2 linked regions of the Kluyveromyces lactis genome follow. The protein of the gene in region 1 interacts with the protein of each later gene in a pairwise test. Links are inferred from orthologs where the notes say so. Each region holds a gene or a part of one and is shown in the gene's direction. Other genes may lie near its edges.

Region 1 (3,834 bases):
ATCATCTAATTAATGCATTCATTCAATACAACAGTGAAATTAAGATAGCGCATTGATTGTAATTGATGAGACTGTTAGTGATATGCACACATTTATATATGTTAAAATATATACCAGCCGATATTTCAACACTGATCTTTCGATTATTAATTTTTAAAAATTACCTTAGTCCAAAATAGCTCTCGTTAGTCATTTTATTAAGGCCTTACTAAATTTTTCACCACTTGATTTGTCAATACGAAGACAATCTGCGGTCAGAACGAGTCAGCTCTTTAGCGGTAAATTGGAATGTCTGCAGGGGTATGTGCAGTGGTGTATGCAGTGGTATTATAAACGGTATATGTCATTAAATGATGTCCTGTACTATTGTGCCAGGAATCAAGAATTATTCATTCTCACTCTACATGCCTAAAATATTGCCTACGACGTCTTATGTTGGGTAAAAAAGATACGAGGTCACGTGGTGGTAAGTCAATATCATGTCTTGCACCTACCAAAATTTGTACCAAGGTTTACTGTTTCTAGAGCCCTCTTCCCATTCCTTCTTGACTGTATCTATATTCTTAACCTGTTTCAGCATTGGTTTCTCCTTTGCTGCAACAGTCTGTTTGGCCATTGCTGCCACTTGGAAGCTTCGTCTACGACGCATGCGACATTGCTCCCATCCTACAATGGATCCAAGTATGAAACCTCCTACACCCCAATTTGCCGCACGAGCAGGATTCTTATGGTACAAGAACATCACTGATCCGACAACAAACATCGATGTAAACCCTCCGATCCCTGCGTCTCTGAAACATGGAATTGACAGTACCTTTTCGACACTGAAATCTTTCACGTCTATCGTATTCCATGCCTCTTTCAAAGACGCACGTTCCTGCTCTCGAGCAGCCATACTACTGGACTCATTATTGAATTTGGGTTTTGTATCCTCAAATAGAAACTTCTGTCCTTTAGCATAATTCGTTAATTGCTGTTCCTCTGATATACTCCTTTCCACCTCGGTACTTGCTTCTTGCGTTTTACTCTTAGAAAATGGCCACACCATGTTTGCGCTCTGAATATTAAAATATCAATTCAACGGGAGTTTATATTACTTGACAGCTACCTAGGTTAGCTTAATGAAGATCTCAATTGCTGCTTACTTGTCAACGCTTTTAGCATCATCTCATCTTATAATCTTAGTTTGTCAATCAGTTTTCCTACAGACACAACTTTTTCCAAACCGAAAAATAATTGAAAAATATGGAATATTTGGGAAGCGTCAGTATTTAATCATAAAATCAGAAGGTACTTGGAAATTCTTGACCTAAGTGACTTTTTAAACAGTGAAACTATAGCAAGTCTCTGGAAATGCATTCCTAGTTTGTCTTGAACATATTAAACTGACACAATATGTACATTTATTTATCCGTTCTATATTTAAAAGTCGCTTTCTGCGATTCATATGTACTGTCGCAGTAGAAATGAAAAAAAGGCGACAGAATCCGATACTCTGAAAATCAGTAAAATAATGGTAAATTGAATTAATCTGAAACGATGAGTTGCAACAAAAATACAGTGGCCGTTAAGCATTTCAACTAGGCTTCTGGAAACACTGCCCTCTGGTATCAGCTTGAGTCTGTGGGTAAGTGAGTTGCTCTGCAAGTAGTATTGGATTCGAAAGCGTTTGCACGGAAGAAATTCGTAGAAAGGATAGGACATTGGTAAATCGTTCTCTTGAGAGAAATAGAATGGATAACAACCGACAAAGAAACGCGTATGGCAACTACATAAACATGTACCCGCCAGGTCACGAGCCAAGTAAGAATACACCATATCCGGTTGATGATCTGCCCCAGAATCATGTTGCAGATACGAATATTCCATACCAAATGTATGAGAAAGATACAAGACAAAGCTCCCAGTCAACGGTAACGACGCCAGTATCACGACAACCACCACCGGCGCAGCAAGTCAGCATACCCAAAGTGGATAACCCGCCTAGCAGTGCTAAGAGTGAACGGGATCTTTCAAATTACTCTTCCGAGGCTGTCGCGTTTTATGAAGCATATGACAGAACCGTCAAGGACGCAAACAAGTTTACGAAGGATATCCAGTTGAAATGGTGCGAGACACTGTTGCAATATGCGTTCAAGCCCACTTTCTTAATCAGATACAATATCAATGCTGAAAAGTTGAAACGGGATTTAACTGAGACCGAAATGCTACAGAATAAAAGGACCATTTTAGAGCATGCGTTACGCGTGTTAACGAAACTAACTCAGTTAAACTATTCACCAGCGATCTACCTATTAGGGACACTTTATTCCCACCACCCTTACGTAGATATTCCAAGGCCCATGGATATCGTGTCTAAGAATGATGCAAAAGCTCTAGACTACTATCGCAGAGCAGCCGATATGGGTCATAAGGATGCCATGTATCGGACCAGTGTCAGCTACGAGTACGGACGTGGAGTAGATTACACAACTGTGAGTGAATACGAAGCTTTAAAGATTTCACAGAAGTACTATGAAATGGCAGCTTTGACCAATGGACATTCTGTATCCATGTACAAGCTCGGGATGTTCTATTTGAAAGGACTGAGAACGAAATCTGGTGAAATCGTTATCAAAAGAGACCCTGTACAAGCTTTATACTGGTTTAGAATGGCTACCAAGGAGATCGAAATCCCACGAGACGATAAGGCTCATGTAGAACTGGAATCAGTATCGCCACAAGCGATGGTTGAGTTGGGTAAGATTTACGGATTTGAAGAGTTAGACGAATCCGTTAGACAAGAGCTTCTGAGAAACGGAATCACTCAAGATAAGGAAAAATCGATCAAATACTATTATAGATGCGCCCATGACTTCGATTATTCTCAAGCCCAATACAAATTGGGTCATTTTTATGAATTTGGGGAGATGGGACTACCTGTAATACCCAAGAAGTCCATTGCATGGTACGCAAAGAGTTCCATGAACAAGACCAAACCAAACCCGTTAGCCATGGTAGCACTTAGTGGCTGGTACCTTACCGGTGCTGAGGGGATATTGAAACCGAACGACGTAGAGGCCTTCAAGTGGGTGTCACGTGCTTCGAAATTATCTGACGGGAAATTACCAAGAGCAGAGTATGCATTAGCATTTTACTTGGAGAAAGGCCTTGGATGTCAGCCAAACATACAAGAGGCCAAGGTACACCACGAAACTGCTGCTCGTCTTGGCCATCCGAAAGCCATCGAGGCCTTGAGGAAAATGTGACCTTGCGGTTTTATTTTTACTGTCCTGCGTAGCTAGCTTCATTGTAATGATATGTAATAATAAGATTTGGTTAGAGTAGTTAGTTATTGGTATTCTCTAGAAGTTAAATTTCTGGCGGTGGTTGGTGTCGCGAAGCGACACCAACATAGCTTAAACTCGGACTTGCTCCCGCTAAGCGAACCATGCTCATCCAGGCCAATCCCCAGCTTCAACTGCCAGGTCCAGGGCCAGGGCCAGCATTACTGCCACAGCTCTTCGCTTCGCTCACATCATCCTCTACTCTTATTGGCTGAAAACCTCCAAAAAGAAAAGCTCCTAAGTCCAGCATTTCTTTTTTTCCCTTTTCCCTTCCCTGTCTTCCTACAATATCTTCTGCGGAACTGGCAATGTCGGAATCATTTCAAAGGTAAAATCCTCTCATATTGCCTGAAAATGAAAATGACTGAGGAAAAAATGACTGAAAACTCAAAAAAAGATATAATATGATATGTTTTCATAATTATATAATAAGAGATGAGCTTCAGGTTTAACTTAAGATACACCTTTGGTTTTGGTTCAGTGCTTCTCTAATCTAGAGTAAAATATT
Region 2 (3,315 bases), on another chromosome or scaffold:
GAATTACAACTTACATTTGGTTATTGACAGTTAGTTTTATAATTGGTATTAGCATTTGTACAATTTAGTTCTTACTTATTGTTTTATAATTTATGTTATGTGTTTTGTAACCTGTTTCAGAGAAAAGTAAGTTCAATCAAGTAAGCAACAGCAGAACAAAATGTTAATTCCAAAGGAAGACAGAAAGAAGATCTACCAACACTTGTTCCAAGAAGGTGTCTTGGTTGCCAAGAAGGACTTCAACCAACCAAAGCATGAAGAAATTGACACCAAGAACTTGTTTGTCATCAAGGCTTTGCAATCTTTGACTTCCAAGGGTTTTGTCAAGACTCAATTCTCATGGCAATACTACTACTACACCTTGACTGAAGAAGGTGTAGTTTACTTGAGAGAGTACTTGAACTTGCCAGAACACATCTTCCCAGCTACTTACTTGGCTGGTCAATCTGGTGACCAAAGACCACAAGGTAAGAAGTACTAAATTGACTGAGACATGGCCTGACTTTGTGTGATGGGGAAGTTGTGTTTTACCCGTATTTTCTCATCATACTGTCAGTAAAACGTTGTTAATGTCAACTGTTTGGATTCGTATTAATTTACAATAAAGTCGTACAAGTGAGCAAGATGTGGAACCTCAGTTGTTATTCATTTCCTGAGGAAATGAATATCCTTGGATTCCTTTTTCTTAAATTTACTCAAACATAGTTGTCGGTTCTTTATTCAATATTCAAATGGGTTAACACGTTATTATCGCACATGATATCATTTTTATTTTCCAATATTATTATTACTATAAATCACATACTTATAAATGTGAGGAGTAGTATCCTTTTGTCATTTTACTATTTTTCTTGGGTCTATTGCAGTGTCGTTACATTGCTCCAAAAAACTTCACATAATCCATACTCTCACGTAACTGTATATTGTCTTTTATAGTCTCATAAAGCAACATATAGCTGGTGTTTTTTTTCAAGCCTGTACAGAAGCTATTTTTGGTTCCTCTCTCTGCTGCCGATCGTTTTGTATATTTTCATCGTCAGGGTTTTCGACATTCTTTCATTCAGTAGTTATCTCGGAAATTAAAAATAAATCCAAACATAAACTTTCAACAACACACTTAGCAAACAAGAGCTGTTAGAATGAAATATATCCCGTTTGATTTCTCGTGAATGGATAACAGTAGCACTGATAGATCTTAGCATTAATTAGAGTGATAAAACCCGAGTCATATACTAATTTGAAGCTGAATGTTGTGAATTTTTGTTCAATATAGTAGCATTCTGATTTATCACCCTATCATGGCTCCAAACAAAATAAATTACTCCGGAGGAGATGAATTACCAGTATGTATCGATTGAAGTACTTATAAGGTTAATGAGGGTAAGAGCTCCCCATCCCCCCCCCCCCCCCCCCCCCGATAATAATGTCATTGTCACTAACTTTCCATTCCTAAACACTTAATAATTACAGTTGTACGCGACCCCAGAAGAAGCGATGAAAGAGGGTAAAAGGAGAGAAGAGGTAGAGAGAAGACGCCGGCAGATGAAATATGGTATCAATCCAAAGCTGCAACAACAGCCAGTACCTGTGAACCCATCCATTCACCATGCACCTTCGTCATACTCACTGGATTCAAGTTATCAAAAACAATCACAACTGCCACAGCAGAGAACCATGATGTCTGGTTACGAACACGGAGCAGGACCTGGGCTACAAAGATCTCAACCAAGGGTACCGAGCTATGAACAGCCACCTGCACCTTCCAGGGTGATGGCTCAAATGCCTGCCCATAATGGTAGTTCCGCCAGTATGTCAACTTATGCTCCACCACAACAGGTTTACTATCAAAGTCAAACTGCAGGTCATCCAGTAGCAACAGTACCGCATTCTTCACCACAAAATATCTCAATAAGGGCCCCAAACCCTCCACCACCACGCTCTATGCAGTCTTCATCGGCACCTCAAGTACAGTATCGCAAAAATCAGCCACTGGCCGCATCTAGCGCAGGTTCTATAGCATCACAAGAGTCCCAACAAGAACAACAAGATAACTTAATCGCAACCGAGCTTTTCAACAACCATGACTTGAAAAACATGGGCAGACTCACGGCAGACGAACTGCATAATTTGTTACAGAATGATGATGGGTCGAAATTTTGTACAAGTTCAATTGAATCACTAATAAACTTGTTTGGTGGCTCTAGATTTGGTACTGTCAACTTAAATGAATTCATTTCGTTATACAAGAGAGTTAAAAAATGGAGAAAATGTTTTGTAGATAACGATATCAACGGCTCATTTACGCTAACGATGGCTGAGTTTCATAAAGCTGTCCAATCGTTGGGATATCTAATTCCTTTTGAAGTTAGTGAGAAATTGTTTGAATGCTATGCGGAATACTTTGACCAGCAAAGGCTAAACAAAGAAATGAAGTTTGATAGATTTGTTGAAACGTTAGTATGGTTAATGCGACTAACCAAAGTTTTCCGTAAGTATGACTTGCAACAAGAAGGGACTGCAACCATTGCATACAAAGATTTCATAGATCTAACTTTGTACTTAGGCAAATTCTTGCCACATTAATTCTAAAAAATGTACTATATGGTGAAGCAGATTCACCAGGAACCGTAATTCCTATCGAATAACAAATATTCTATTAATCTTTAATTATTCTACACTTTCATTATCCAGCTGAAGAAGATCGCGACACTTAGCTTGTTCCCTCGTTCGAAGCTAAAAAAAAACTACATCCTCAGACTAGAGCGATGAGCAGAGTCACTTCGAGCAACAAGAAAAAATCACTGGCATATGAAATATCTGTAGTGACATAAAGTACTAATTTTTCTATTTCAATACTTTTTTGATTTTTGTGTCCAGCGACAGAAAAAAATCTATAATAGTATAAGAGTAGTAAAACAAGGAACTGACCCCCCAGTGACTGGATTTATCGTGGAAGTGTTACATTTGTTGACGTTTACCAGGAGGCTTCGAACGGTAAAGCAATGAATTCAACTAAGAATGGCTGGGGTTCATCAATGGATCATTATATTGAAGCAACTGGTGTTGAATATGATTCCATTTCCTATGGACCAGCAAAATATGGTTCGAATGCAGATAACCTGGAAGTCATTAACGAGCAACCTGAAGAAGAATGTACTGAAGTGAAACCGCAGTCTCAAGAAAAAAAAGAGGTGCTCGATTCGGTTAGACGATTGTTCGAAGCTGATTCCACAGAATCTAACAGCGCTTTGAAGAGTCTAGATGTGGATATAAACGTTCAAGGTGACTTCTATACGCTAAATTCGGTCATGAATT

The links.
Region 2: the proteins of ACK1 (region 1) and PEF1 interact in a two-hybrid assay, tested with the Saccharomyces cerevisiae proteins (2 studies listed by BioGRID). The link is inferred for Kluyveromyces lactis from reciprocal best matches to the Saccharomyces cerevisiae genes ACK1 and PEF1.

Annotation. Positions count from the first base shown.
Region 1 is NC_006039.1:1,307,563-1,311,396, forward strand, and holds ACK1 (Ack1p), read left to right. Parts: upstream 1-1,733; coding exon 1,734-3,248; downstream 3,249-3,834. Other genes in the region: COX20 (Cox20p), read right to left, coding at 491-1,048.
Region 2 is NC_006038.1:719,420-722,734, reverse strand, and holds PEF1 (Pef1p), read left to right. Parts: upstream 1-1,494; coding exon 1,495-2,583; downstream 2,584-3,315. Other genes in the region: KLLA0_B08173g (40S ribosomal protein eS10), read left to right, coding at 161-481; septin SPR3, read left to right, coding at 3,003-3,315. UniProt on the Saccharomyces cerevisiae protein: Calcium-binding protein that is required for polar bud growth and cell wall abscission. Can also bind zinc ions.